Linked DNA regions of Oryctolagus cuniculus. The protein of the gene in region 4 interacts with the protein of the main gene of each other region in a pairwise test. Links are inferred from orthologs where the notes say so. Each region holds a gene or a part of one and is shown on either strand. Other genes may lie near its edges. The genes, in order: HPCAL4, IL16, PIH1D2, SPRED1, CREB5, CDKN1A and NCALD.

Region 1 (3,834 bases), on a different chromosome or scaffold from region 4:
AAAGCTAGATTCAATCTTTTGGAGGGAAGGAACCCCACTTTTGGGAAAATGTCTTCCGCTAGAAGATTCAAGTCCCGAGCTGAGCCCAGCTGCTGAACATTTATGTCTGTGGTGCTGACTGACAGCACAAGACACACCTAATAGCCAGCTTTGGAGAGCAACAGAACATTCCTTGAGGCTTTACTGGATAAATACCTGCTAGCTACTGTCTGAGGGTGTCAACTCCCCAGTGTCACCATGTTGGTGACACAAGCAGGACAGAAAGAGTGGCAACCTAGTGGTCTTGGTACCTCAAGGTCCAATGCAGCATCCCCAAGACTTTCCACCTGCAGAGAAGCAGGACTGGTGAGCACTCAGTAGTGAGGAGTACACTGAGTCTCTCTCCCGCAGATGCAGTCCCTGCCTCCCTGTACCCCACGTCAGCAATCACTCCTTCCTCCCACCCTGGGCTGCCAGCACCTGTGTGTTTTCACCCGCAGTTCAAGAGAAAGTCAACTGTCACGGCACATCAAAGCTAATTTCTGATCACAAGTACAGGAGAAAGTGAAGTGAAAGACTTGCTGAAGAGGCAAAATGACTTTTTCTGGCAGTCAAAGCATGCAGATGTATGGCTCACGGATGCAAAACTGGAAAGCGAAGCCAGCACATTTGGAAGATGATGAGTTACCTGGCAGATGTAGGATGGGGGTTAGAAAAAGCCTTTCAAATGGAGCATGCCCAGCCCATTTTTAGGTATTTGGTCCATAAATGCAGCCTGGGAGCCTTGACCGGTGCCTAGGTGGTCCTTGACCTCTACCTCTTTCTGCATCTGTAGTAGTGAAAGAACAAGCTCATTCCTGAAATGCAACCAAACCCAGAAGTGAAGCACCGAGACCCGGGCCACGCATTTGTCTCACTCTTGGCAAACCTTGCTTTTCCTGTTCCTGAAGTCAGCACCCGACCAGAGTAAGTGTGTGATAGAGGGTCCCTTGTGGACTTGGCAAAGGTGATAAAAAGGAAGCAGAAGCAGCACAAAGCTGCTGATGGTGACAGCTCAGGGCTTTGCCTGACAAGAGAAAGCATTTTCTGGTGAGTTTGATAGTATTTCCTTCTGTTTTCTCAGGTTTCCCCCCACGATTATAATTTTCTACATTTATTTAATCATTTTATAAGAAACCAAATAATATAGAGTATATTTTAACATCCTAAACTCATAAAATGACTTTAGCTCTTTTAAAGGGTAATAAAAAAATAACTATTATGTAAATTTTCATTTTTCTTAAAATGTCCACTCAGATTTCTCCTGAACTTGCCAACACTTTTCTGGCCCTCTTTTGCAGCTTTGTGTGGAGCTGAGCTGGAAGATTTGAAGTTCCTCTCAAACTCGCCAGCCTCTGCATGCCCTCGGCTCTGCTGTGCTCGCCATCCCACCATCGCTGCGGGAGACTCTGATCACCGGAAGTCCACCTCTGGAGCCTCCTGGGGGCCAGGACTGCGTCAGGTAAACTGCCATTATCCTTAGCACCTGGAGGTGCCTGGCACTGAGCAAGTGCTCAAGAAACTTTAGCTGAAGAAAGAACTGAAGAGCTGCTCCAAAGGCTGGGGCCAGAGGGGCCAGGCAGCATTGAGAGAGCAGGACACAGACCACCATCGAGGGTTCTGGGTCCCCAGGAAAGGACACACCCAATCTGACTCTTGGAGTGGGGCCTGCGAGACCACATTCTACAAAGCATATCCCAGGAACAGCAGAATCTCAAAGCAGGACCCCAGTCCCCCTCCCTAACCCTGCCTCTTGGGGCAAAAGCCAAGCCCCCTTGCCCAAGGGATGTTGGTTCTGGGCCAAGGCTGGGGGGTGGGGATAAATGACAGGACACCTGAGGCCCTGTCTGCTTTTTAGCACGGCGACGTGGGCCCCCAAGGATCTTTTGACTGAGGGGAAGGAGGGCTTGGGCAGAGAGGAGGGAGTGGGCCAGAGAGTGAGGCTGGAGTGCCCCTCCCCCAGGGTAAGGACCAGCCAGAGAGGTCATCAGGTAGGGAGGCGGCCATGCCCCCCACGGCCAGGGGCCCTGCCCCTCACCAGCCTCTACTTCTGCATGTCGCACTGCAGCAGCAGCACAATGGACGGGTCGCTCTTGGCTGCCTCCTTGAACTCCTCCAGGGTAATCTGGTCGTCCTTATCCTGGTCCATCTTCTTGAAGATCTTGTCCACGCGCTGCTGGGGTGTGAGCCCGTCCTGGTTCATGCGCATCATGATCACAGTGCCCACCATCTTGTAGATAGCCTGGTGGGGTGAGGAGAGAGGTGGGTGTGCCCACAAGGGGTGTTGAGGATTGGGAGGTGAATGAGAGGGAGCAGGGCAGGGCGGGGAGAGCACTGGGGGAAGGTGAGGATACCGGGCGGTAATTAAGGCTGGATATCTGGGACTGGCATTCAGCCTAGCAAGTAAAACCCTGCTGGCAATGCCTGCTTCCCACATGGCAGTGTCTGAGTGTGAGTCCCAGTCTTGCTCCTGATCCCAGCTTTCTGCTTATGCGTGCCTTAGAAGGTAACTGCTCAAGTACTTGGGTCCTTGTCACCCATGAGGGAGACCTGGATTGAATTCCCAGCTCCTGGTTTTGGCCTGGCTGTGCCCTGGCTTCTTCTGGGTCTCCCACATGGGTGCAGGGGCCCAAGCACTTTGGCCATCTTCTACTGCTTCCCCAGGTGCATCAGCAGGGAGCTGGATCGGAAGTGGAGAGTGAAGCACCCAGGACAGTCGAATCGGCACCTATATGGGATGCCGGCTCTGCAGGCAATAGCTTTACCCGCTACGCCACAGCACCAGCCCGGATACAATTCTTGACTCTGCTCCCCATCACACTCTACATGCAACCATTCAGCAAATCTTGCTGGCTCTAATTTTTCAATGGATTCCAAACCAACCACTTCCTACTGTTTCCACTATACCTCTGAGATTGTAGCCCCCCACCAGCTCGTGACTGACTATCTGGACATCTCCTAACTGGTCATTCTGCTTCTGCTGCTCTCTCCCTTCCCCTCCCCCATCATCTAGAGCCATCACTGAAGAGCTCCCCACGTCACTCGGAACAAATTCAAAGTCTCCACCTGGTCCACAAGATGCACAGAGATTGGGTTCCTGGCTCCCCATCTCCTCACCTTTCCTATCGCTGTCCCCTCACTCACTTCTCTCCAACCACCTTGGCCTCCCAGCCCCTCTCTGCACAATACAAACACAGTCCACCCTAAGTCTGTTGGCCCCTCATCACAGAAGGCCCTCCCCCCACCCCACGCAGGGGTCAGCTGCTCTACACTCTTTTCACCTTATGTAGAATAACTTCTGCACCATTCTCTTTCTTTTGCATGGCTTATCTCCTTTTTTAATTTTATTTTTTTATTTTTTTATTTTTGACAGGCAGAGTGGACAGTGAGAGAGAGAGACAGAGAGAAAGGTCTTCCTTTGCCGTTGGTTCACCCTCCAATGGCCGCCGCGGCCGGCGCGCTACGGCCGGCGCGCTGCGGCCGGCGCACCGCGCTGATCCGATGGCAGGAGCCAGGAGCCAGGTGCTTTTCCTGGTCTCCCATGGGGTGCAGGGCCCAAGCACCTGGGCCATCCTCCACTGCACTCCCGGGCCACAGCAGAGGGCTGGCTTGGAAGAGGGACAACCGGGACAGAATCCGGCGCCCCGACCGGGACTAGAACCCGGTGTGCCGGCGCCGCTAGGCGGAGGATTAAGCTTATCTCCTCCCTAGCACTGACTGGCTGAAATGGCATAGGCTTATTGATGGTAAATTTCTCACTAGAGGGTGGGCACTCAGCACAGCAGCTATGATTCCCCTTGGGACCCCTGCTTCCCA
Region 2 (3,834 bases), about 43 Mb from region 4:
GGACTTGCGGCGCGGGTGTCTTGGGCGGTTGTTATCGCGGGCGTTGTGCCGTGTTCTGCACCAACAACCTCCATCGCTCATCTCCGTGCTAGGTGGCAGGGCCTGGGTGTGAACTCAGCCTTCCTGTTCCCTGAGGCCATCTCTTGGTACCACACCACCTGCAGCAGGTGGGGGCTTCCCCATCTAAGCAAATGGGCCCAGGATGCTGTTGAGACTTAACCCAAGGTCATGGTGCCAACGATGGCAGAATCAGCTGCAGTCCAGGTCTTCTGACTTTGGAACTAACAAGATCATTCCAAACCCAACTTCAAAATCAGAACTATCTTCCACTGGGGACATGGGTTCTAGGGGAACCACTGTATCCACCCCAGGCTTCCCTCTGGGCCTCCATGTCAAAGACGGTTCCTCCAACAACAAACCCGGTCCTGTGCCAGAGCTTGTGGGGCACAGGGAGCAGGAGGCCCTTTTGGGTCCCAGTTTTGAGAGCCACCAGCTGCACCCGTGCCCCTTGGCCCCTTGTTTTGGTTGAGGAGCCTTGGGCCTGGAGTGCTAAGGTCACTGAGCCTGTTAGAGACAACAGCAGGGGCCTGGCCCCTGACCCCTGGACTCCCCACCCAGTGTCCCTGTGTCCACAACCCCTTGCATGGGCCTTGGGGGCTTCCAGCCTGAGGAGCAGCCAGGGGTCGGGGGAGGGGCGGTTTCCCACAATGGCTGCAGGTGGCACATGATTTCCAGGGGAAAGGCACTGGTTTGCACCCCAATCGTGAACAAAGTGTCAACATTTTCAGTGAAGGCCAATCCAGGACCAAGGAAGGCTGACTCTACCTAAATATTTTGTTCACTATGGACTTTAAAAATTCATTTTTGAGTTTTTAAAATATTGACTCGAGGGGCTGGCGTGATGGCCCAGTGGGTTAAGCCACTGCCTGCCATGCCAGCATCCCAACCCGAATCCCAGCTGCTCTGCTCCCTGCAAATGCTCCTGGGAAGGCAGCAGAAGAGGGCCAAGCACTTGGCCCTGGCACCCACATGGAGTTTCTGGCTCCTGGCTTTGGCCATTGCAGCCATTTGGGGGAATAAATGAGTGGATGGAAGATATTTCTCTCTCTCTCTCTCTCTCTCTCTCTCAATCTGCCTTTCAAATAAAAATAAATCCTTTTAAAAAAAATGTTGCCTCGAAATTGTACTGATCTCGACTTCTGTGCGCTTTGAAACCCACTTCCGCTTTTCTCGTGCCTGCCTCACTCCAGTCCCAGCCCTGCTGAGCTGAACCAAGCCCAGGGCTCAGTCACTAGGAGGACCCCACAAAGCAGAGGGGTTCAGAGGGTACCCGAGCAAAGGAGGAAAGTGTGAAAAGGCAGAATTGGCCCTCACTCAATAGGCCCATTCGCCTCTCACATTGGGTGGAGGTGGTGGAGAGACCACCCAGGCCACTCTGGGACCTGTTCCCATGGCCACAGCTCGAGCCAGACGCGCACCTTTGAAGATCCGGTTGATGGTGATGGGCTTGTCTCCACGCAGCGAGCCCCTCCCACCTTCCAGGCTGAAGCCCAGCCCTGCTGAGGTCTTCTCCAAGGTCACGGTGCAGATGGCAGCCTCCGTTGCTGGGGAAACCACAGGGCTTGGTTAGAGACCCGCCCCTCTCTCCCAGGGCCATGGCACCGAGCCTGGGGGATGCTGCCTGCCGTCCTGGGCCCCTAGGCAAGCAGTGGCATGCATCGTGGCCACAGTTGAGGTGGGACACATGTCGCCAGGGCCACAGAGGACCGGGCAGCCCCCAGGACTGCCTCTGACGCATCCTCCCATCCCCCGTACCTGCTGAGTTGGGAGAACTCACCGGATTCTGCAGGGACATCGCTGGCTGCAGAGGGTGCTGCCGCAGAGTCACTGGAGGGGCTCAGGCCAGGCGAGGCCTCCGGAGCCGGCCTCCTTGTGACAATCACTGCTTGCCGTGGGTCTCGCGCTTGGCGGAGGATGGCCAGGGCGTCGTTGTGCGTGGTCCCCTTGAGGGACTTGCCGTTGATGGAAAGAACCTCATTGCCCTTCTGAATGGTGCCTTCCTGGGAGGCTAGCCCGTTTGGAAACACTCTGTGAACCTAAGCAGAGCAGGAGCGCTCAGGGCCCAGCAACCAGCCAGGCCAGACTGCAGGAGGAGGGAGACCTGAGCCGGTCAGCCCCAGAGGGCACACAGCACCTGACGCCGTCCTGGGTCAGCACTGCAGGCTCCGGGGCCAGCATCCCTTCCCCTCCTCCACCCAGAGCCCAGGATCCTCTCCCTCCCATGCCTGCGGGTGTCTCCGCTGGCTTCCCATCTGGTTTCCTTTGCCTTACTTTCCCCCACCAGCCCTTCCCAAAGCAGTCTTCTTGACATCTCCATTCAGTGGTGTATTGGTAGGTGGTGTGTGAGAACCGGTTTCTAAAACCAGAAACCCGCAGGACGCAGGGTTAAACCAAAGCTCTGAAAATGTCCAGTTCTGCCAGGCAACTGGCCACGTCGGAGCCCCAGGGACAGGCCGCACAGGACGGGGGTTCCCAGGGAAATGCTCGGGCCCCGGCTTCCGCAGAATGCGTTTTGAGAGACACCTGCTTAGGGCGTCTAGACCTTGTCCAAGCCGGGTCCCTGCCATTCAGAGGGCTGAACGACAGGACGCATGGGCAGGTTCCAGAATGTGCTCTGGGTCATTCTGCTCCCTGCCATGACCTGAACAAGGATCTTGCTCTCTCTGAATGGCTTCGGTGTTAGGAAAGCTCTGAGAGGTGGCGAGGAGGCCCAGGCTGGAAGCCCCGCGCCTGCATCCCGGTGCCTGCTCTTAGAAGCAGTGCAGGCACTATGGATGCCTCCACCTAACGTGGGGGAAGCTTCTCCAGGCCTGCAGGGGGCGCCACCTAAGTCTCCTTTAATGAGTCTGGAAAGGAAGAGAAAGAGAAAGCGGAAGTCCTGTGTGTGCGTGTGCTTGGCCGCCAAGTGTCACTTCCTCCTGGCTCCGGGGCCCAGCAGCTGCAGTGTCTCAGGGGAGGGCACCCCCCCCCCACCTGGGGTGGAGACGTCACTGCCCATGGGTAGAGAAGAAGACCCGGAGTGTGGGTCCCACCAGCAGACCGTGTTCTCTGTGAGCAGAGGGGAAGCGCCCAGCCAGGAGCCCTTCTGTCACACCCAGCTATGCACTCAGCAACAGAAATGGTTCTTCTGCACTCACAGTCTCTTGTGCAGTAGAGAAGCTGACCCAGAAATAAGGGAGCTCCTGCTGGTGTGTGTTTGCTCTGGACTGACTACCAGAAATGTGCTAAGTTACCATTACCAGGGGGGATGGGGGCTTTCTTTTTTAATGTTTATTTATTTTAATTTACTGGAAAATCAGAGTTCTACAGAGAGAGAGGAGAGGAGAAGAGAGGAGAGAGAGAGAGAGAGCAAGCGAGCAAGCCTTCATTCACTGGTTCACTCCCCAAATGCATGCAACAGCCAGGGCTGGGCCAGGCCAAAGCCAGGAGCCTGGAACTCCATCCAGGTCTCTTACACGGGCCGTAGGAACCCAAGCACTTGGGTCATTATCGGCTGCCTCCCAGACTGCATTAGCAGGAATCTGGGTTGGAAGAGGAATAGCCAGGACCCAAACCAGGCATTCCGATATAGGCCGCCATCCCAAGTGGTGATTTAACCCGCTGCACCGCCATGCCCACTCCTTGGTGGCTTTAATGCCAGCCAATGCTGTGAACCGGAGGCTTTGTCTGCCGCTGTGTAGGGAAATTGCGATGAGCCCAGCACAGGCCCTGCAGAGGGTTCACCAAGACGGCACAGCCATGGGGTGGCAACAATGCACCCACGATCTGTGAAGA
Region 3 (4,519 bases), on a different chromosome or scaffold from region 4:
AAAGCTCATGGAAAATTGAATTAAAAGGTATGTCTACTTTGGTAGAAAAAGTATTTGAAATCAATATAGTTTTTTTTTTTACAATATACATTCTTCATGAACTCTTTAAAGAACCCCTCATATGCATGGATTTCTCTCTCTTTTTTTGGCAACAAAGTAAACTTAGCTTTTAATTCCATCTTCCACTAACTTTCTGAAGTACTTTCATATAAAATGGCACAGTACTTGCATATAACCTATGACATCTCCTGTAGGCTTTAGAGCATCTCTAGATTTCTTCTAATACCTAATACAACATAAACGCCATGGAAATCATTATCATGCTATACTGTTTAGGGAATAATGAGAATAAAAGTCAGTACAGACAATTTTCCCCCCCAAATATTTTCATCCTGCTGTTCCTTGAATCCGAGAATGCAGAAACCGGTACCAAAGGCCAAATGTATAATATCTCCATTCTTATCTTCTAGATGAAGCTCCCTTCAAGTTCTAACTTGCCTCATGCAAACGACTATATATCAATGTCCAGATCAGATGTCAAATCTGGAACCCCAAAGTTTGCAATGAAGTAACACCCAGATTCGATAGCGTCAGAAACTACCCGTCTACAATTACAGAAACTGATGCCTTTTAGGCATGAAATGCAAGATGACCGAAATTTCTCCATTCGGGGCATCGTCAATCCTATTTTGTACAGAAGTTTCCTAAAACTAGATTAACAAGAATATTCACGTGTGTGGTCACCAGGGGTTTTGTGCGACCACCCCAACGCTCACTCACCCCTCGATCCTGAGGTAATCAGGCATCTTGTTAGTGTGAGACGAAGAACCACTCCATTACAAGATCTCCATCGACCCAGGAAGCCAAGGAGTCAGGGCTCAAAGGCAGCTCTGCAGCTTCACCCGAGTCCTTCGTGAAAACGGAGCCTTCCCACCGGTTACTCTGCCCTCACCCGTGGCCCAGGCCACGGCTGCCTCGCCCCAGCCCAGCCCGACAGGCAGATGTTTCTCCTGGCTGAGGCCGGAGGCTGCGCCGGCGCGGAACCCGGACCGCCCGGTTGACCGGGGCATCGCCCGCTGACGCTCCGCTGGAACGGACACCGGGGGTTGGGTTTCACTCCCCAGGAAAGAAGGGGGACGTTTTGGAGTGGTACGACCTTCCGTTGGGCCCCAGGAAGTGTCTACGGTGCCTGACGGGGCCTTTGGGGTTTCCAGGTAGAAGACAGAGAAAACACCCCCATCTTTGTCACCGGGATCCCTGTCCCCCAGCGGCCTTGGAGCTCCCGGTGACTCTCCCTATAAACTCCCTCCCCACACAAATACACACAAACACACCCATACCGTGCGCCGCAGCCTCGCGTGGCGGGGGTGGGGGGGAGGAGGCGGTCTGGGAGAAAAAGGAGGGGGCTTCCCTTTCAGGCCGGAAGCCGTGCTTGGGAGAAATTCTTCCCACCAACGGGAGCGGCGGCGACTCCCGCTGGGGAATTTCCTGGGCAGTCTAGGGGCCGACCCCTGCAGAAGGGAAGCAGGCCCTTTCTTGGAAGTCAAGTGAGTCCGGCTCAGCTAAAAAGTAAGCCGGACCTCAGAAGGGGAGATTCCGGAACTAGATGTAAACACTTTCCGCCTGGAGCTTCCCGGACCCAATTAGGTGTTGTACCCAGTCCGGTTACCCGGGAAACAAGTGTCGCGATTTGGGAACCGAGAAGAGGTGGGTTTGCGGACCTTAGGAATGATTGCCCGTTAATTGCATTTCCTATTTAGTCTAACACTAAGATAGTACTGGAAGACTCTAAACCTCTTGGGCTCTTTTCAGGGATGTTGTGGGACACCTCTCTGACGGGGGGTGGGGGGGTGGGGGGTGGGCGGGGCGAGGAGGGTCATCCCAAGACCTAGAGGAGTTACTCATAGGTCATCCAAGTGTTCCAGCTTCTCCGTAAAGTGGTTCTCACAATGACCCAAAGGAGAGAAGTATTCCTTCTTTAAGAGAAGAAAAAGAAGAAGAAGAAAAAAAACACCTGAGGCACTTTCGTACATTAATTACTGGAAGTCACACTGCTTGTAGGAGAGAGCTGAGATTGGAACCCGGGCCTTCTCTATCCACTAAAGGACTGAAATTCTGTGGTACTCACCCCTACACAATTCTGGCGATTTCACGTTTGAGGATGCACCATTCAGCCAATACTCAGGGTGTAGGAACAAGGCGATCACCAAGAAATCCAGACTTAAAGTGACTGCTTTGTTCCCTTGGGGTTTTTGACGGTCCAAGTGGAGGTAAGGCCCTATCTGAGAGGACAACTGGAGCACTTTGTAAAGGCTACTAACCAATGACAGAATAAGGAAAACATTTGGGGCTTGCCTGTTAAGTTGCTGTCTGCGATGCCGGCATCCCATATGAACACTGGTTAGAGTTCAGTCCCGGCTGTGGCACTTCCTATCCAGCTCAGACCCAGATAGAGTTCCAGGCTCCTGCCTTCTGTCTGGCCCAGACCGGGCTATTGGGGCCATTTGGGGAGTGAACCAGTTGATAGATCTCTCAGCTGCCTTTCAAATAAAATAAATTACAAAACAAAACAAAACAAAACACGGGGCCAGCACTGTGCCTAGCATCTTAAAGCCCCAGCCTGCAGCGGGAACGGGTTTGAGTCCCAGCTGCTTCACTTCCAATCCAGCTCCTTTGCTAATGTACCTGGGAAAGCAGATGACTCTGCACCCACGTGGGAGACCCCAAAGAAGCTCCAGGCTCCTGGCTTTAGATGTGCTCAGCTCCAGCATTTGTGGCCATTTGGGGGAGTGAACAAGTGGATGGAAGACCTCTCTAACTCTTAAATAAGTCTTTAAAAAAAAATACGTAGGGCCATTGCTGTGGCGTAGCGGGTTAAAGCCCTGGCCTGAAGTGCCAGCATCCCATATGGGCGCCGGTTCTAGTCCGCGCTGCTCCTCTTCCAATCCAGCTCTGCTGTGGCCTGGGAAAGTCCTTGGGCCCCTACACCTGTGTGGGAGATCTGGAAGAAGCTCCTGGCTCCCGGCTTCTGATCAGCGCAGCTCCAGCCATTGCAGCCATCTAGGGAGTGAACCAGCAGATGGAAGACCTATATCCCTCTATAGCTCTCTCTGTAACTCTTTCAAATAAATAAATCCTTTAAAAATAAACAAATAGGTAAAAAATAAAGTGTTGATAATACACTGTTTTAAAACAGGTGGAAAGGAAAGCTGATGGTTTCTTAAAAACAATTTTTAACGAGGAAGAGGAAAATAATCAAATTACACAGACTTTTTGTCCCTTAAGTCATTGTCTTTCCACAGGCTTGAGAGGCCTCTCTTGCCATCAATCATGACATCATCAGAGGGTCTGCTCACCCAGCTTACACAATTCTGGAACCTTCTTGATGATCTTGCTGAAAGTGATCCTGAGCGCTATAATAAATTCATCCAACAGGAGCTGCGGGAGGGGCAGCGGCTGTGTGCTGGACCAGAACCAAAGCTCTGTCTACAAACCAGGATTCTGGTATGTAAAGTTAGTGCCAGGGATGAGGAAGTCTTGAGTAAAATGGTTGGAATAATAGGAGAATACTTTACCCATTAGCTGTAGCTACTTCAATGCAAGGACATTTGAAGGAAATCATCTCTCTAAATAAAAAATGAAACATAATGTGGAATATTTTGCTGAAGAGTAAGAATTGGAAATTCATTCATGATATATTTTGGACATCATTCATGAAGTATTTTGGACGTCTCAAAATTAGATACTTTTTCCTGCTAGAATAAAAAGAAAAGGTAATAGAGTGATTTAGTAGAGAATCATGGAGTTGGGTGCTTTTTCAGATAAAGGAATTATTTGGTTGGCAAGGTAGGAAATGGTAAAATAGGGACAAATGCACCTGGAACAACTGCTTGGGTCAGTTCTCCCTGAGGACCACTTCCTCTAGGAGCAGCAGTTGGGTTCCTGATGAAAAGTCAGCAGCTTTGGGGAATCAGGTAGCTATAATTTCTCACAGTTTTAAAATGTGGAATGACTAAAATCCCTCTTCTGAGTTGCTTTTAGGATACTGTCTTTAAATTAAAAAAAAAACAACTAAGTTTTGACATATGCAAAATTATCTGCTTTCTAGAAACCAAAAGAAAAATTACTTTTTATCAATCTATGTCAGTGGGAAAGGATCCCAGCTCCCCAGTCAACCACTCATCCAGTACCACTACGTCTTGGCCGACCAGAAGACGTCTCTGAAACATCAGGTACAATGAATTAAGGGAGAAAAGGCACATTTAAAATATTTTATTGCAAATAAGCATTTCAGGTAAAATATTTTATTTCATGGAAATATGATGACAAATTAGTGCACCTTTATGCAAATTTAATATTGTTCATTTTTTCTAATATGAACTATTTTAACCCATATAAAAATGCCAATGAATCCCTTTATTAGACTTCTGTATATAGCACCACTGTGATTACCTCTGAAAAATACAGAAATAGAATTTATATTCCAGTTTTATCAGGAATATGGTTTAATCTACTCCCT
Region 4 (4,539 bases):
CGGAGCTCTTTTTGCACAGTCCCTGCCGGTAAAACCCCCCACTAACTAAAGATGAACTCTTGCCAGCTCCATTCTTTGCAAGGAAGGCGCACACACACACACACACACACACACAGAAGAGGGCCCTCTAGAATTTCCTCCCGGAACACACTATCTTTCCAGTCCGCTCGATCCAGCCACCCGGAGAGTGCAAGCCGAGTAACGGGGAGCAAGCAGCGCGCTGCAACAATGCGCCCTCGCTCGCAGCTCCCCTCGCGGCTCCCACCCCCGCCCCCTCCGCGGCGTGCCAAGAGTTTGGAGCGCGCGCACGCACACTGAGCGCGGCGCATGGCGTATCCCTCCGCCTCCCTCCTCCTCCTCCTCCTCCTCCTCCTCCTCTCCCCGCCCGAGCGGCTCGACAACGATTTGGGAAATGAAGGGAGGAGGGGACTACTTTCCTGAAACTTGCTATGCTGCACACGACTTCGAGTTGCAGTGATTCGCCCGCAGGCCGCAGCTTCTCAGTCCTCCCCTCCACACCTCCTCAGAGCCCAGGCTGCCCAGCTCGGCAGCCCCGCCCTGCGCCTGCTCTAGCCCCGCGGGAAGCCAGCGACCGGGAGAAGTCGCGAGGGACTACTTCGCCTCCTTCTCCCGCGGGCGCCCCCGGTTCGGGCAGCGGCGGCGGCGGCGGCGGCGGCGGAAGGAGCGGGCGGCGTGAGCGCTTCCGCCGCCCCCCTCGCGGCTCCCCTCTAGCGGGCGTGAGGTGCTGGCCCGCGGAGCCGCCGGTGGGCACGGGCTGGCGGGGGACCTGCGGCTGCTCCGCTCCCCTCCCGCTGCTCCTTGGCGCCTTGTCCCCCTTCCTCCCCGGCGCCCGCCCGCCGGCTCGCTCCTCTCTGGCCCGGGTGGGAGCCACCGGCCCGCCTGCCCCTCGCCTCCCGCTCCCCGCCACCCCTCCTCCCCCTCAGGAGGAGTCCCGGCTGGAGCGTGTCTGGAGGAATCCGCCGCCGTGGGGCCCCTCGCCCGTTTCTGTGCGTGCCTGATCAGCAGCGACCCAGGCGCCGCCGGGGTCTGAGCGGCAGCCCAGAGCGGCGAGGCGGGAGATGGTGGGGTGGGCTCCGGCGGGACCGCGCCGCCGCCCGCAGCCTGGGCTCGGTACTCCCCCGCCGGCCCCCACCGGGCGCAGCTCTTCTTCCTCCTCGCCGCATCCCTGAGGGAAGCGCCGCCTCTGCTCCCGGCTTCTCCGCCCGCCCGCCCGCTCCTTCCTGGCCGGACCCCGCGGCGCTCCACCCCGGCGGCCGGAGGAGCAGCTCTCCAGTCAGCCTTTGCAGTCCCCTTACCTTCTTTTTTTTTTTTTTTTCCCCCACCCCTACCTCCCCTCCCCTGGCCGCCTCGGATCCTTCGGCTGGGCGCTGAGGCAGGGGAAGAGGCTGGGGTCGCCACGGAGAAGGTTGCTGCCGCCACCCCCCTGCGGGGGTGGCCGGGGTTCCCGGCTGGGGGGGCACCGTTCCGGGTGAGGCATCCACCATGGTGAGGCCCCTGAGCCGCTGCGCCCGCGCCCCCCCGGCCGCCGCTGCCTCCTGCCCCTCGGTGCTGCTGCTGCTGCCCCCCTGCCTGCTGTTGCTCCTCCATCTCCAGATCGGATCGCGTTGAGGGAAAGATGAGCGAGGAGACGGCGACTTCTGACAACGAGTAAGCGCCTCATTGATCTTGATTGCTAATCCCCCACTCCCCAGTCATTCGTCTGCACTGCCCCAGACCCCTCGAGACTCGGGCGCCCGAAAGCCTGCGCCCCTGGAGAGTTCGGTGCGTCTGCTTCTGGATGTAACTGATTTCTTGAGCCATTTTATTTCATGGCAGCAGCCCTCCGCTCTCCCTGCGTTAACTTGCTTTCTGTCGGGGAAGGGGATTCAGATTCAGTGTTGGGTTGGGATGGCAGTTGTACATCCCTGAGATGGAGTAAGCGGACGGATCGGGACAGTAGCAGTGACCCCTCCGCCTGGGAGACCCTTGGCCTGTCCTCTTTCGTTTTATCGTCAGCCAACATATCTTGAATATATCCATCGTGCTTCCTGTCTGGCTATTTCACTGGGAAACTGATGTGTGGGAGCACCTCCTGTAGCAAACTGCTCTTGAATCTTAATTCGATGAGTCAATGACTCTTAAATACCTATTAAGCCTTCACCCCACCCCCACTCCCCCTTTTAAACTTGTGACCTGTGAGATTCCTGTAAAAAAATGGGGTTAGGGAAACATTTTTGGACTTTAATAGGATTAAGGACTCCTGGGGTGTGGGGGATGTCGAGCTGTTATGTTTACTTTTGGGAATATTGGACGTGTCTTCATCAAGAACATTGAAGAATTTGGAGTTCTAATTTTTGTCCTTGGGTTGTGTTAAAATACTCCGGTTTCCGTTAATTGAACAGAATTTTACGTTGCTTAACATGTTGGTGACTTCATCAACTTCTAGAGCATTCTGGCTTAAGTTTTGCTTATTTTGGGATGTCCCCATGTTTTCCAAACTATTTGCCTTTTTAAACATTTGACTTTAACGTAACAGCTGCCTGGAGGAATAATGGTGTTGGGCACGGTTTTCTATGGAGAAGGGTTTTAATTCCGTGCAGGATGTTAGCATCCGTTTCCTTGTCATTCAGTTTAAGTTTTGTTTGTCTTTGGCGGGTTGGAAAGAGTTAAGTGAGTTCGGACTAGCCTTTAGGATGCATTCCTCTAAATAAAGTGCATTCCTCAAGTCAGACCTTTTTGAGAAAAAGCTTTAAAAGTCCAATGCCGAGGTCTGTCGTACATGCCAAGTAGCGTCTACCCCCAACCCCCAACCCCCAACCCGCTTTAAGAGCACAAGCTTCTGATGTGCGGGTGTAGAAGGAGGTAGATTGCTGCAGTGTCAGTGCAGCCTAGAAGCAGAAGTGGCCGCCATGTTCTCTCGCTTTTTGTGAATCGCCCTCATTTGCATAGCACAGTCTTCATTCATAAAAAAAATAATTAAACATCTATCACCTTGGACATCTTGAAAGAATTTCCCAAGGAAAAATTCGAAGCTTGTTTGTCTGTCTTCGTGTAGCTGTTTGAGTTCAGGAAATAAGGAGAATTTGAAGTTTCAGATTAAATTTAAAAAACATACGCACACATAAACAACTACCCCTGTTCTCAGAATGTTGACACGGTTATGTGGGAAATATCAGTTCGGGGAGGTGCTGGGATCACGTGATCGCCTCCATTCATAAAATACCTGGCTGTCCATTCACAGTGCAGTACACTGTCTCACTGCCTTCCGCAGATTAGACTTACTTTGAGGGAGATCAAGAAGTCTATCTAAGATAATACTTGGTTAAGAGAAAAGCTGCTGAAAATACTGAACGCAATGACAGTAACTTTTATTAATCTTGCATGCAAGTAGCTCAATTCAAAAATGTTAAGTTTTATTTTACAGATGAGAAGGGATTTATCAGTTTAGTTCCAAGTGTTGAATATTTCTTGTGGCTTCAGATAATTGGACAGCAAATGATGGAATGTGAATTGACACAGGTGCTAAAATATGGTTACTAAATGAGTCCTTTTCTTGTACTGGGCATGGGTGTATTGAGAGTGCATAAGTTTTTTATGTGGTGATATCAGTGGATGCTACTGCTATTATACTAAAATGAGAAGATATTACCACTGAATTAATCTCCAAGATGTTGATGTTTGAAACACCAAATGGTAATTTTCACTGGGAGGATTGCTCTTTTTTTTTTTTTTTTAATTTTAAATGTATTTAGTATGTGATAACTTGGAAAATAACTCACCCAGATATTTACAGATCTGGTTTTACAAATTTATTCTGCTTTACTAGTAAATTATTACTTAGCTTTGTAGTACTATTAATTTCGGTAAGATAAGAATAATAGTTTTAAGTGTATAATAATTTATATACAGTATTAACTCTTTATAGAACAAAATCTTGCAGGTTTTACTTAGGAAAAAAACTTTTATTTTAGAAAATGGTGTGCTCTTTTGGTAATCAGTTTGGCCGGAGCTGACATTGTGTGCTTGTGTATTGGCTAAACCACAAAGAATGAACTTCTTTGGAATGAAGCTTTTAATCTGATAATTTATGTGTCTTTACTATATGAAATGTCTTGAAGTGCAAATTTATTATTTATAATATACATTATGAAGAAACAAAAGAGATATTATGGCAGAAACCCTAAAGGCTTTTGTATAGTTAGAATTGCCTTGAAGTAGGATTTTATTTGGGCCTTACACGTATTTTTTGTTTTTTTTTCTTCTGTCTCTTTAAGCCACTGTTTATAGGGATTTAATTACAGTAGAGTCTGTTATTAACACTCTTCAATGTTTCTTCTTTTCCACCTGATTCAACCTTTAAAACAAGTGTAAATCACCAATTTCTTGGAAACTGTTAACCTTTTCCAGAGTTATGATAAAATCTAGTAAGGCCTTTACAGACTATTTGAAATTAGAGGAATAGATAACGCCTAGAGGTTGATTGTATATATTTAATGAAGAATTAGCAGAGGATCTATTAATATGAAAGGCTTTGTTTTA
Region 5 (4,421 bases), on a different chromosome or scaffold from region 4:
CCCCACCGGGAGAGGCGCCCCGGGACGCTCTGGGTCCCGGGGTCACTCTGGAGAGCGCCGCCCCCGCCGCGAGCAGGGCGCCGGTCCCCGGCAGCACCCTGGGCGCCGAGCCGGGGAGGCCGGGACGCGGGGCTGGGGCTGCACCAAGTTTGGCTGAGAACAGCAAGATGAGCCCTTTCTTTTCCAAAGCGAGGCCGAGCGCGCCGTGGCGTGCAGAGGACCGCGCGACAAATCGCCGCGCGCGTTGCGAAGTTTGCGCGTTTAAAGCGGTGAACGCCCAAGTCTTGGAACGGAGAGTCAGTCTCCGTCTCTGGCAGCTGAGACAGGACCCCTGTGCGTGACTTGTTCGAGGGCTCCAAGTGAAAAGAACCTTCTGGGAGGGGGCGGGGACGTAGATGTGCAGCAAAAACTCACACACACACACACACACACACACAATTACCAAGAGGAATTAGGAGGGACGGGGAGAACGCGCTCTGATGTGGAGTCTGTGCAAACCAGCAGAAGCCGAGGTTGTCTTCTGCATCTGGGGCACCCTCCTGGTGACCCCGCGTTTCGTTAGCAGCCTTGATTCGCTTCTGAGCGAAAGCGGTGCTTGGGGGGGGGGGTAGGCGTGGGTGCGACTCCGGGCCGCGTTCTCACTCCTGTTCGTGGCGCCGTTTGTGACTGATGCTGGGACAGAGACGCAATCGTATGCCCCCCGCACAATACACGCGCGTCGAAAATGTTCAATTTCTTGTTTGTGATGCATAGAGCTAGAGGGAAAAACGGCCCGGGTCACAGGCACTGGAGGGTGTGATTAATGATCAGTGATTTAGTGATCAGTGATTAGTGGTTTTATTCAAACTGTTACCTCTGACCAGAAGCACACATCAGAGGATTAACAGGCTCTTTAGATGAATGCTCATTAGTGGAAGGGGAAAAGCAAAGATAATAGGCATGCACCCAGGGACAACTTTCGAAGAAAATCATTCCCTTCCTCAGAATAATAAGCTCTATTAACAGAAAGCCCTTTTAATTTAAAACTTGCTTTTATCTTGTAAATCAAAGTTAGATGTAAAAGTTTGTAGTGCCATTATAACCTAAACTTTCCCATATCCACTCGATGTGGATTATCTCCGTAGCGATATTTTTTTTTTATTTAAATAAACAATTGGACCTTTAGAGCGGCTGACATGCTCTGAGCTCCCGGGGTGCGAAGGTGTCCCCCCTCCCCCCCGCCCCCCGGCATGGAGATTGTTGCTTGCTAACTAGATGGCGCACTGCTATTTGGTGTTCTGCGCTGCACAGTGTAGGAGCCTCAACTGAGCGTGTAGCTGCTTGCGAGGTGCTCCGCGCCCACAAAGTTGCTTCTGTGCAAGGTTGGAGGCTAGACAGTTCTACAAGTTTGTAGTCACATTTTCCATGTCCGTTAAATCTAGGGAGTTCGAGGCTACTGGAAAAATTAGTCTCATTACTGAGAGTTAGAGAGCGAGGCAGGGAAGGAGGTCCCTCTAAGTGAGTGGTAGGAGTGATTGTAAAAACCCCAAACCTGCTCTGTCTACAGAGAGCTGGTTTCACAATCTTCTCCTCTGAAATACTGAGGCGGGTACTCAGACTGATTTTCTTCCCGATCTTGCTGGTGAGAAAGAGAAGTTGCTAGAAAGAAACTTGGAGACTGCAGGAAGCAACACGTGGCTGGTTTTCTTCTGCAGATAATGGTAAGGTGATGTTGATTACGCTTGGGAAGCTGCGAAAAAACTTTGCACTTGGTCCGATAGTCGCACTCTCGTTATTTTCACAGATTGCAGAAATGGAATTCTTATTTTGTGCAGAATTTTGATGTTGCTTTTGTCAGTTTCCTGGGACTTGTAGCATTTGGTGTGGTGTGTAAGGTTGTGCATGTGTGAATAAGAGAATTATTTATGGAGTAAAATATGTTCATGAGCATGTATGTGGACTACAATGGAGTGGCGGGGAGGCACCGTAAGTCATGTGTTAGGTAAGACTCCCTTTTTCGGGAGCTTTCATGAGTCACTTCCAAAAGTAATGAAGTTTTGATAAGAAAGGAGTGCTTTAAAAAGAAAACTAAAAAATCAACAAAAACAATGGAAGATATTTTCTACCTCCAAACCTAGACCCCTGTGATCCTGAGGAAGGATGCTTGACTGTGTATCAGCTCTTCCGTTAGTTTTAAGACTTAAAAACAAACAAAGGAACTCACTTGTGTCTCCCCATAAATTGACTTATTTTCCTTTGCTTTTCCATTTTATAAGGACTCATGACTTTAAAAATGCTTACTGAATCACATAGGTTTTGATTTTTCAGCTTTCCTTGGAGTAGACATGTTTGCTCCGTTGATAGTACCTCCATTTCAGCTGTTTTTGCATGTTAATTGCTGGTAGCTACAGATGGCTTGTCAATTGTAAGTCAGTTGTGCCTTTACAGGCTTGATACCTGAGTTTTCCTACAAAGCGGGAGAAACCAGGCCTTTATTTCTCCATCTCTGAGACTTTGCAGCTTCTCTTTGAAGAGGTGGTAGCTCCATGGTTCTGTCAGATCCCTTCTCTCCTGAGTTCTCACTGGGACTGACTTTCAGCAACCATTCCTCTCCATTCTGCAGTATTTCCTTAGCCAGGGAGGTATCTTCTTAGGAAGCAGAAAGTTATTCTGCTAGCATGTGATGTTTGCTTGCTGCATCGCCAACATGTGAACTTTGTCTTTAAGTTTTATCATTGGATTAAAATTGGGATGTGAGTGCACTTGCTCTTTTTGTCTTTTTTTTTTTTTTTTTTTTTTTTTTGTCTTCTTCACTTCAAAGCAATGCCGTTAGTCACAGAATTAATGTGATCATGGCTGGTGTTTCCCATCTATATGCTTCTTACAAATTGGATTTCTTCAGCAATTTAAGATCTTTTTTTAGAGGCAGCTTTCTTGGATGAAGATGGAACAATGATCTCAGTCAATTCATTATCTTGTCCAGTTTGACTACAGGAATCCACCAATGCTTCTATACATTAGTGTTTAAAGATTTAAATCTAGGACTATTTCTTTGAATTCTACTTTACAAAGTTATGCAATTGAGATAAGGTAATAAAGGGGGGGCAGTAGCTTCCAATATTAAATGTGAGAAATACGCATTTCCAGATATGTGGCACAGATTTAAAAAACCTTTTTGTGTTGCTATTTGTAAACCAAATAAGCGATCTATTTTGCGGCAGTGTTTTCAATAGGAAGTCTGGCACTTTAAAATGACATCATGGTTAATGTTTTCATGAAAGAGTTATTACATTTTGTAATTAGGAAAAAAAATGGGCAATTAGTGTTTTTTGAGCATCCATTAGTATTCCATTGTTGGGAATCACAAATCATGGATTTAACATAAGAAAATCTAAAACGAGACAGCAAGCTTTTAGAATGTGCAGTTCGTGGTAACGTGCTTCCAGAAACACGGGGAAAGTTCGTGCAGCCCTTACTGAGGCTTCTCTGGTTTTCAGAGAACATAGAGTTTAGGATAAATTTCTGAACATATATTACATTGACATTTTCATATTTCTTCCTCCATGTTCACTCTGGTTTCCCTTTTCTCATCTGAGAAATAGATCAGGATCAATTTATCACTTTAGAAATACATATTGCCACTTCTCCTATTTCCCTAAGGGTCACATTTCTAATCTCCACCCTGGAATGAGCGAGGAGTGAATGTTCCCCCCCTTGATGTTTGCCTTGCACTGGTCTTGGGGAGGGAGAAGGGGTCCTTTGGGCCTGGAGATCCTGCCAGTGAAATCAAAGGGCGGGGAGACCCTTCTGTCAATGCCACCTCTTCCCTTATAGAGAAGACCCCCAGGTTTGCGGGTGTCCCCTGGCTCACCCAAGGCACGCAGCTGGGGACCTTGCCTCCACGCTGGGCTCCGTTTTCAGGAGCCAAACTACCATGGTCGCCACGGTCACAAGTGGAGCTTAACCCATGGCTTTGAATGCTCTGCTCTTTTCATGTCTTTTGCAATCAACCTTTCAATGGCGCTTTTTTTTTTTTTAATCAGAACTTGTGAATGGATGCCTTGATCACATCATTGCAATTTCTATCCCACTTATGTATTAACTGCCACGTTACTTTTTCTAATGTAGTCCTCCCAAATTGACCATAACTTAATTTCTTTTTTTCTTTTTCTTCACTACTATTACTAAAATTGAAAATTATGCTGTCCAGATTTCCTCTGAGAGCAAAGCTAGTAGGACTAAAAATAAGCTGAAACCATCTCAGATGAAGGCAGGAATTTCATCATCTTTAAAAAAAGGATCTGAAAAATCATTTTCAAACCCAAGAAATACTTTTATGTTATAGAGCAACAAAAACTGTTTTCACTCTAGCAGGTGTGTTTTGCCCAGAACCAATCTGTCATATATTATCTTCCCGGGTCAGCATATATGAGAATGCTTGG
Region 6 (4,346 bases), on a different chromosome or scaffold from region 4:
CCCTCCAGACGGCAGCTGACAGGTGCCGTAGGCTGGGGGCCTTTCCCAAGGATGGCATCAGGTGGGTGGCCTCGGGGGAAGGTGGGGCGGGGTGGCGGTCTCTCCCCCGGCTGAGCCACATCCTGCCAGGCACACCAGGTGAGCCAAAGTCTGGACCCTTCACAGCCCTGCCTGCCTCCAAGAAACCCGTTTTGTGGGCAATGGACATGAAAGATGGCTGGTCCACCCAGGCTGCACACCTCCCACTCCGGAAAAGTGAGGGGGAGTCTGCTCGCGAGGGCGCCCTGCTCTGGCCTGACTCCAGCTTTTCCTGGGGACAGGACCAGATTCACAGGCTCTGGGGGGGACAGCTCTGCTGAAGCCACACCTGCCACACCTACCCCACGGCCCCTCCCACCCTGAGCACAGCCCCTAGCTCCACCATGCAGCTGGCTGGAGAGGAAAGTCACCCAGTGACCTCAGGCCAAGTTCAAAGGGCAGCTGCTTTACGAGATGAGACTTGCATCCCAAACCGCACAGCTAGAAAGGCAAAAGGCCACTGCCCCCCAAACAGGTCCCACAGGGCAGCAGCCGCAAAGGGCTCCGGTAACCGCTGTCCACCCTCTCCAGGGCACAGCCATCCTCCAAAAAACTGGATTTGAATGAGCTCCTTTACAGAGAAGTGGGGACCAAGGCTGGGGTAGTCACTGAATCGAGGCCCGCAAGCGGTCATCCTGGGTTCCTGGCCCCCTTCCCCAGTTCTGAGGCCCACCAGAATCCCCACGGTTGGGGGGCACTTTTTAGAAATCTGCATCGACCCCCTATCCCCACCCGAGCGACTCAGTTCAAACAGAAGGGGATTTAAGTCGGTGTTTGGCACCGTCACCCAGCTAGGCCCTCTTGAGGTGCCAGCCAAGAGGGGAACACACTGGTGGGTCTGACAAGGACGCTGCGTGGGTGCCCCATGGGCGAGGGCGGGGGGCGGGACCGCCCCCTCCCACCAGCGCTGTCCTCTCCTGGGTCTCTCCTCCCCAGGCCACCGAGGGGAACCTCCCCGGGGATGCCTCAGGCTTCAGCCCCCAGCTGGCCAGTGAATCGTAGGGGCTCAGTAAGTGCTGTAGAGCCCACGGCCGTGGGGCGCTGCCTGGGTGGTGGGGGGAGGCTGCGAGCGGCGCCCCGGGCTCGCGGGGCTGGCTGGCCCTTCGCGCCGGGGCCGGCAGGGGGCGCCGGGCCCCAGGGTACTCCGCGTCGGAGGGCGGTGCGTGGGCAGGGCCCGGGCGCCGGGAGCGGCCGTGATGAGTCAGTTTCCTGCCCCGCGCTCCCGCCCGCCGGGACTTCGCTTCCACTCCGGCCTCGCGTCACCCGAGGCGGGGAGGGCAGGAGGGGCCCGCGCCGCAAACACGTCACGCTGAGCCGTCCGCACACTCGACTCACACACACACACACACACACACACACACACACACACACGCAGGGGCGCGCCGACAGGTAGACACGCAGAGACCGACACAGCCGCAGACGCACGGGTAGGCACATTGAGAGACACAGACCCCACGCGCGCGCACGGACACTCCGGGGCGGCGGACTCGGAGACGCGCGCGGCCCCTGCGCATGCACAGGCGCGCCGGGACCTGGCCCCTCCACCTTATCTCCACGCCCAAAGCACGGGATGAGTCAGATCCCTGGAAAATAAAAATAGACGGCCGCAAAGAAAACAAAACCGCTCGAAAGTCCTCCCCGAACCGCGACGTGGAGGGCGGGAACCTGGGAGGAAGGAGTCTCGGCGCCCCCGAGGGCCCGGTCCGGCCGCAGGGTCTCGGAGCGCCCGCGGCGGGGGGCGCGCGAGGGGCCGCTGCCCGAGCCCGTGCCTGAGCGCACCCCCACCCCCTGCTGCGCTCAGCCCAGGTCGGGCGCCCCGCCCGCGCGCAAGGCAGCCGCGCCCCCCGCCCCCAGAAGCCCCACCCGGCCGCGATGCGACCCCTCCTGACGGTCCCCTGGCCCCGAGCTTGGGGGCGGCGCGTCCCACTGCTCGGCGGTACCGAGCTCCGCTCTCGCCCGGGGCTCCAGGGCCGGGCCCAAGGGCAGGCTGGGCCGGGGTCCTCCAAGTCGCGGCGGGGAAGCCGTGGGTGGAACCCCTGCGACGGCCCGTCCCCCTCCAGGTTCCCGATGGTGCGCCGCGGAGTGGGGACCGGACACCCGCTCCTGGACCTCTGAGTGTCCCGGCTTCCCTGGGAACATGCCGTGCCGGCCAAACAGGTCACTGTGCCGACTGGGGGGGACTGAGTCTGCGGCGGGGCGGGGGACGGAGCTTGGGTCCATGCCCCGGGGTCTCCTTGTCACAGTGAGTCACCGCCTCCCTCGTCCTCAGGGGACGTGTCCTGGCAAGTTCCCGAGGGCCAGGGACACAGCCGGCGCTGACCTCAGAGCCCCGCCGGCTGGCGGGCGCGGCAATGAAGGGGCACTGGACTCGGGAACCAGCATCCGAGACCCGCCCCAGCACCGACCCCAAATAAACTGGTGCCACTCTGCGTCCCCCGCCCCTCCTGGAGCCAGTGGCTTCGTCCCCACGACGCGAGCGAGCTCCCGGGCTGCTACATCCACGCCTCCCCTCGCCCCAGCTGGGTTTCGAGGGGAGCCGCGCGCGGGCGGGGATCCCTGGTGCTCTGGCTCCGCTGTCCACCCGGAGTCCCCGGCGCGTCCCGCCCCCCGGCACGCGCGCCCCTGCGAGCGCGCCCGGACCCACGCAGTCGTCCACCTGCCACGGAACCATCTGTGAACACGCCGCGCTCGGCGGCCGCGGGTCCCCGCGACAGCCACACGCGGACACGCCGGGCTCCGCTCCGAGCTGCCGCCGGGGCTCGGCTGCCGCAGCCTCACCTTCTCTGTGTCTCGGTGTCTTCGTGACTCGGCGCCCGCCTCTGGCTCTCCGAGGACTGGCTCTGCGGCTGCCCACACCTCGGCGGGCGCCGCTCGGCCAGGCCCTGATATAGCCGCCGCCCCGCCCCGGCCCGCCTCTCGAGGCGGGCCCCGGTGCTCGGCCCACCTCGCAGCCGGGGCCGGGCGGTACCCGCGCGCGCGCTGGTCCTTGAGGAAGCCTGGCCGAGCTCCAACGGGACTGCCGGCCCGGGAGCCTCGCGTGCTGCGGGCGGGCGCGCCCTCCTCCCACGGCCGGCGCCTGCGTTCGTTTCCTCGCGAACTGAGCCGCAAGTCTGAATTTTTTAAGTCGGGGCAGGGGGGCGGTTGGCACTGCCAGGGAGAGGCAGGGGCGACAGGATGAGGCCCCTTTCTGCCCCCGTGCTAGCCGACTCTGGACAAGGATTTCCCTGGTGCAGAAAACAGATCAGAAGGGATGACATTAATTTTTTTAAAAAATTATAAATAGTAAAAATGATGTGCCTGTCTTGGCAATGTTCAGAAACGCCCCCACTATATTCCCGCTGAGCCCCCTCCCAGAAGCACCTGTGCCAGGCGTACACCCCGTCATTTCACAGAGGAGCGAACCGAGGCCCGCAGAACCTGCAATGTTGTGGTGGGCCCTTGGCACAGGTGGTTAAGACTCTCTTGGGGATGGCCACATCCCACCTGGGTGCAATGTCAGGGTTCCAGTCCCAGCTCTGCTTCCAATCCCAGCTTCCAGATAATTAATGCAGGCCCTGGGAGGCAGCAGGTGATGGCTGAAGGACCTGGGTCCCTGCCGGCCCCATGGGAGACCCACATGGGGTTCCTGGTTCCTGGCTTCAACCTGACCCAATCCCAGCTGGTGCAGGTCTTTGGGGAATGAACCAGGGAATGGGAGATCTCTCTGTCAATCTTCCTTTGTTTTTCAAATAAACATAAGTAAATTGCTTTTGTAGAAAATGAAGTAGGCACATTTGCTGTTTATCAAATGCACCAGGGAAGGAGGCATCGGGGACTCTTCAGAAAGGGTCAAGCTGACCTCCAGAAGAAAGGGAGAAGTCAGACCCTGAGCCAATCTGCACCCCACTACAGCCGCCTCCCCCTCCCCAGAGCAAATTTGGTGAGTTCACTAGAGCAGCCCCCACCGCTCACCCAGTTCTGGGGCTAGACCTCCCCCCGCCCCCAAGCTGGCTCTGGTGGCAATGCTGGCCTTTTGCCTCCTGCCGGGACCACACTGTGGTCCCCGTGTGTTTCTGTGGCCCAGGATGAGGGAAAGGTCCGCTGGCCATCACTTCCAAGCAGCTCACTGAGGAGCCTTTGATAGGGGCATCCGGAAGTGTCCACTGGCGCTTCTTGCCGGACACGAAACCTCCTCCTCCTTCACCTTCGCCTCCTGCCTTCACCTGTCCCGTTTGCAGTTTTGCTGTCTGGAAACTGCAAAGAATGGAGTGTTTGTGTGAGCAGAAATG
Region 7 (4,450 bases), on a different chromosome or scaffold from region 4:
CCCACATGGAAAATGAGGCTGACCTCTTTAGGGCCATGGTGCCTGCATTTGTTTTCTGTTGCTATAACAGAGTGCCTGAGACTGGGTCATTTATAAAGAAAAAGGCTTTATTTTGGCTCATGGTTCTGGAAGCTGGAAGGTCCAAGTTTGGTCAGCTGCGTGCAGTGAGGGCCACATGCTGCTTTAACTCATGGTGGAAAAAACGGAAGGGAAACAGTGCCTGGGAAAGAGAGAAAGCACCTGGCTACCCTCGCTTTATAGGAACCCTGGCACCAGCTCACTGCCTGGAGAGAGGCATCAATACACCCAAGAGCACTCCGCCCCTACGTCCCAAACACGGGCCCCACCTCCCACCACCACTGCTGCGCTGAGGGATTAAGGTTCTGCCTGGGAGCTTTGGGGAGACCGCCTGCCTGGACCTTCCCATGCTTCCAAACTTCAGGTTCACGCTCCTAGTTCCTCCAGCTCTCTTGAGGACCGGCTCACCCCAGGGTGATTTCCAACTCTGGCTGCTCATCAGAATCTGCTGGGACCTAGGTAGAAGGCCCTCATTCATGCATGGCTGCAGCCCTGAACAGTGCAGCGAAATGAGAATCTCTGGGGATGAGACCCAGGCGTCATATTTAACACACACACACACCAAACAAAACCAACATCCCCAGGAGATTCAGTTGTGTGTCCAGGCAGGCAAAGCACCAGGCTCACCTGCTATGGCTTTCAGCTCTGATGATTCGGTCTAGTGACTTGTGAGATAATTGCTGTTTTCCAGTTGATGTCAGCCAGCAGAGGTAGGGAAGGGCAGTTTTGGGTAGATAAACCTTTTAGTTGACGCTCAGATTAGGGTTGGTGGCCGTTTGGACTCACCTGTCAATTCTACGACAGGTCCCATGAAAAGATTTTTGCAATCATTCTAAAAGCGTGGTCATGGTGCCTTTATAGCTGCCACTTCGTAAGTGGATGAAGATGAGTGGCCATGGAGTCCTTCTGAGGGTTCTGGAAATGTCTCTGGGGTCGAGGCGCACAGGTTGCAGTGGCTTTTTGAGAGGCTGAGCCTGGCAGACACCTAGGCCAGGAGCACGCGCTGGCCGCCTGCAGGCACTCAGTACACACTGGCGAAGAAACCGTGAAGACACTGGCTTCTCATCAGTCCCAGTCGAGGTGAAAAGTGCCACACTCCGCAGTGGGCAATGGGGACAGGGGAGCGGACCCCTCGGACGGGTGGTGAAACACTGGTTAGAGCAGAGCAGCCCCCTTCTAGCTTGCGGGCTTGGTGGTGCAGGGGACGGTGCGGAAGAGGCTTTTGCGTTGTGTTCCAAGATCACCTAGAACTTCACCGCGGGGTGTCAAGCCCCCTCCCCCCCAGTTTCCGAAGCTCCGAAGGGGATGCTCTAGGTTGACCGCCCCACGACCCCAGCAGGCAAGCCGATGGCACCCTTGGAAAGCACCGCTGCAGCCTGACCAAAAGCCTGGGCGGTGGGCTGCGATCAGGCGGCACATGCAGCATAAGCCGGTGGCTGCACCGTGGCACAGTGGGGAGTCCACGGCACCTGCGATCCCCGCGTCTCGGCTTGGCACCCCCTTGCAGCCCGGGGCGTGCCTCCTGCAGAGCCTCAGTGGGGAGGGGACGGCGGCGGACAGGAGGGAGGTGGCGAGCCGAGCTGGGGCTGGGGGCGCGGCTGGCGGCCGCGCTGTCCAGGGGGAGGCGGGCGGAGGGAAGGCGCTGCCGCTGCGGCCGCCGCCTCGCCCGCGGCGACACAGACGCCGGGAGCGGCGGACGCGGTGAGTCGCAGGGCTTCCCTCCGCCGCTCGGGAGCCCGAGCCGAGTCGGAGCTGCGGCCGGGGCGGGGGCACCGGGGGCGGCGGCGCGGGGAGCCGCTGCTGGGGTGGGATCCGCGCGCGCTCCCCGCGGGCGCAGGGGTGGGCGCTGGGAGCGCGCGGAGCTGGGAGCCCTCCCGGGTGCAGCTCACCCTGGCGAGTCCCGTGTCTGTCTGCTCACCCTCGAGTGCCTGGGAGGGAAAGCATAGCGCAACCAGAGCACCGGCCGCGGCACGGGCAGAGCAACTTTGCCGGGGCTCGCGGGGCAGGCGGGGCGGGGGCGCGTGGGGTCGGAAGGGGGCGTCGGTGAGCCCGGTGGTCCGCGGCCCTCCGAAGCATCCCTTCCGTGCGGCTGATGGGGGGTGTTGAGGGTCGTGGGCAGCCGCTGGATTCCGGGCTCGGCCCCGGGAAGCCGCGGGACGCAGGCGCGAGGGGTGGGCGTGTGGGGAGGGGGCTTTGGGAGCGGCCGACAGGCGCTGGCTGAACCCGGTGAAGGCAAAGATCTGCATTCGGGACTTGGGACCGGAAAGACCTGCGTCGGTGGCCCGGGGGGGCCTCGGCGAGGGTGTGCCGGCGAGATGTGTCGGAGTGTTTTGCAGTGCATACCGATGTATTTTTAGCTCCGAGAGAAGCAGGATGTGCAAAGTGGGTTGTATCCGCGCGGGAGGGGCAGGAGGTCTCCCTGCGCGCAGGAAATCGCACACAAGTTTCTTGCTGCCCGATGCCTGCTGGAACTTGGCGGCCGCCTGCGGGCCTCCGGGGCCGGCTCGGGGTCTTCCTGCGGGTGGGTGGGGAGTCCGCGGCCACGCGCGCGGCTGTCAGCCGCAGACGGAAGCGCGCGCTCCGATCGGTGCGGTGGCGGGCGAGTCTTGGCCGTCTGAGACGGACACCACGCGGGCTTGCTTTTAGGTTTTCCCAGTTCGGACTCATTGGAAAAATAACAGACCCAAGCCCCTGAGTTAGCGAGAGCGGGGCTCGCCGGCAGGGATGGTTCCGACCTCTCCGGCGCTCACCGGCCAGGCCCCCGGAGGGTTTCCCTCCGATGGGAAGGTGCCTGTGTTTTTATGGCGCGGGGCAGAGATGCCAGGACTACCAAGGGGGAGGGGAGGGGGCCGAGGACGGATGTGGGGAGGAGCCGCAGAGGAGGCGGCCCAGGAAACTGAAACGCAGGTGTTCAGGTACCCAAGCCAGGGCCCTGGACGTTCCTTGGAGGCTCCCCTGTGAGCCGCTCTGTGAAGACCTCTTGTCCATGCCCGTGGGGAGAGTCGCTAGGGTGGCCGCTGGGGATGTGGGCGCTGCTTGCGGGGAGCTGCCAGACCCCCTGGTGCTTCCTTCCTGACCCTCTTTTGTCTCCTGCTCTGTGGCGGGAGGTCCTGGAGAGGTGCCCGCCCCGCATCTCTGCCGCCCCAGGGGGTTGTGAGGATTAAACGAGTTAATACACCCGAAAGCACCAAACCTCATGCGCTGTCTTTAGAAGGTGCTGCCGCGGTGCCAGCGAGCGAGCCTTTCTTCTTACTATTTCCATTTTTACTTATCTGAAAGGCAGCGAGACAGGAACAAAGAGAGATCTTCTCTGTCAGCTGATTCCCTCCCCAAATGTCTGCAACAGCCAGGGCTGGGGTCAGGCTGCAGCCAGAAGCCCAGAACTCCATCTGGGTCAACCACATGGACAGCAGGAGATCAAGTACTGGAGGCACCGCCCGCTGCCTCCCAGGGCTCGCATTAGCAGGAAGCTGGAGTCAGAACCCGAGCTAGGGCTCAAAGGCAGACACTCCACGTGGGACGCATGCGTCTTAACACTGCACCAGATGCCTGCTCTCTTGATTGTTATCTTTGCTGCTGTCCTGTGTTCCTGTCCGGCCAGTTCCTGCTGTCAGCGGGCTGGTTCCTAGCCTCATCATCGCCTGCATTGCTGCCACTGCCTTCAACAGGCCTCGTGGCTCCCACGTCCTGGCCCCATCTATTGCATGACACTTGTTCTGAAAGCAAAATCCAGGCCTATCATGGCGCCTGGTTTCCTTTCCAGGTTTTTGGTGCCGATCCCGGGCTCGCCTCCTCCTCGGCCTCGCCTCCCGTTTCTCCCCACGGGGAGCCTCCTGCTCAAGCTGCAGACTCTCAGAACCTGTCGTCTCTTGGGCATCTCAGTTGCAGCAATGTCACCTTCCAGCAGATCCCCGGGCTTGCTCCTCCCCAGCCAGCTGAGTTGTCCCCAACCTCACATAGCCATGGTGTTTCACGCACAGCTCCCTGCATTGCCATCTGTCAATCGTCCAACCTGCATGTGCTTTGAGTGACGGCTTCTGTTGTGGGTAAATGTTTGTTGAGTGAATAAGTGATTATCAGTCAGAGTGTTCCATCGTTTTCACTAAAGCCAGAATCAAACATGAAGAATAATAGAGCAGGCAGTAAAGGAGGCGAGAAATACTCAGGGCTCAAGGGTTGGCCCGAAGAAATGAGGCTCCTCTCTTGGAGCTAATTCCGGGGTGGCCCTTTAACCGTGCGGGGCAGACTAAAACAATGGAGAATGTAGTGACTGGCACCTGCCTCTTTCCTTCCTTCCCTCATAAAAAGGCAGTGCAGCTTGGCTGGGGGCCGGGGGTGGAGCTGCAGCCCTTGAAGGGGTTTGTGCGGTGAA

What was found.
Region 1: the proteins of SPRED1 (region 4) and HPCAL4 interact in binary tests that used the Homo sapiens proteins (3 or more experiments, as listed by UniProt). The link is inferred for Oryctolagus cuniculus from reciprocal best matches to the Homo sapiens genes SPRED1 and HPCAL4.
Region 2: the proteins of SPRED1 (region 4) and IL16 interact in binary tests that used the Homo sapiens proteins (3 or more experiments, as listed by UniProt). The link is inferred for Oryctolagus cuniculus from reciprocal best matches to the Homo sapiens genes SPRED1 and IL16.
Region 3: the proteins of SPRED1 (region 4) and PIH1D2 interact in binary tests that used the Homo sapiens proteins (3 or more experiments, as listed by UniProt). The link is inferred for Oryctolagus cuniculus from reciprocal best matches to the Homo sapiens genes SPRED1 and PIH1D2.
Region 5: the proteins of SPRED1 (region 4) and CREB5 interact in binary tests that used the Homo sapiens proteins (3 or more experiments, as listed by UniProt). The link is inferred for Oryctolagus cuniculus from reciprocal best matches to the Homo sapiens genes SPRED1 and CREB5.
Region 6: the proteins of SPRED1 (region 4) and CDKN1A interact in binary tests that used the Homo sapiens proteins (3 or more experiments, as listed by UniProt). The link is inferred for Oryctolagus cuniculus from reciprocal best matches to the Homo sapiens genes SPRED1 and CDKN1A.
Region 7: the proteins of SPRED1 (region 4) and NCALD interact in binary tests that used the Homo sapiens proteins (3 or more experiments, as listed by UniProt). The link is inferred for Oryctolagus cuniculus from reciprocal best matches to the Homo sapiens genes SPRED1 and NCALD.

Annotation. Positions count from the first base shown.
Region 1 is NC_091438.1:133,188,715-133,192,548, reverse strand, and holds part of HPCAL4 (hippocalcin-like protein 4), read right to left. Parts: intron 2,261-3,834; coding exon 2,063-2,260; 3' UTR 2,057-2,062; exon of another isoform or gene 1,459-2,056; 3' UTR 1-1,458. UniProt on the Homo sapiens protein: May be involved in the calcium-dependent regulation of rhodopsin phosphorylation.
Region 2 is NC_091443.1:103,877,120-103,880,953, forward strand, and holds part of IL16 (pro-interleukin-16), read right to left. Parts: intron 2,097-3,834; coding exon 1,838-2,096; intron 1,605-1,837; coding exon 1,479-1,604; intron 1-1,478. UniProt on the Homo sapiens protein: Interleukin-16 stimulates a migratory response in CD4+ lymphocytes, monocytes, and eosinophils. Primes CD4+ T-cells for IL-2 and IL-15 responsiveness. Also induces T-lymphocyte expression of interleukin 2 receptor. Ligand for CD4.
Region 3 is NC_091432.1:104,017,313-104,021,831, reverse strand, and holds the start of PIH1D2 (PIH1 domain-containing protein 2), read left to right. Parts: upstream 1-1,583; 5' UTR 1,584-1,707; exon of another isoform or gene 1,708-2,270; intron 2,271-3,302; 5' UTR 3,303-3,330; coding exon 3,331-3,504; intron 3,505-4,108; coding exon 4,109-4,232; intron 4,233-4,519.
Region 4 is NC_091443.1:61,319,285-61,323,823, forward strand, and holds the start of SPRED1 (sprouty-related, EVH1 domain-containing protein 1), read left to right. Parts: upstream 1-1,534; 5' UTR 1,535-1,636; coding exon 1,637-1,668; intron 1,669-4,539. UniProt on the Homo sapiens protein: Tyrosine kinase substrate that inhibits growth-factor-mediated activation of MAP kinase. Negatively regulates hematopoiesis of bone marrow.
Region 5 is NC_091447.1:19,973,491-19,977,911, forward strand, and holds the start of CREB5 (cyclic AMP-responsive element-binding protein 5), read left to right. Parts: upstream 1-1,561; 5' UTR 1,562-1,697; coding exon 1,698-1,700; intron 1,701-4,421. UniProt on the Homo sapiens protein: Binds to the cAMP response element and activates transcription.
Region 6 is NC_091436.1:132,896,808-132,901,153, forward strand, and holds the start of CDKN1A (cyclin-dependent kinase inhibitor 1), read right to left. Parts: upstream 2,980-4,346; 5' UTR 2,857-2,979; intron 1,657-2,856; exon of another isoform or gene 1,530-1,656; intron 1-1,529. UniProt on the Homo sapiens protein: Plays an important role in controlling cell cycle progression and DNA damage-induced G2 arrest. Involved in p53/TP53 mediated inhibition of cellular proliferation in response to DNA damage.
Region 7 is NC_091437.1:127,452,576-127,457,025, reverse strand, and holds the start of NCALD (neurocalcin-delta), read left to right. Parts: upstream 1-1,640; 5' UTR 1,641-1,779; intron 1,780-4,450. UniProt on the Homo sapiens protein: May be involved in the calcium-dependent regulation of rhodopsin phosphorylation. Binds three calcium ions.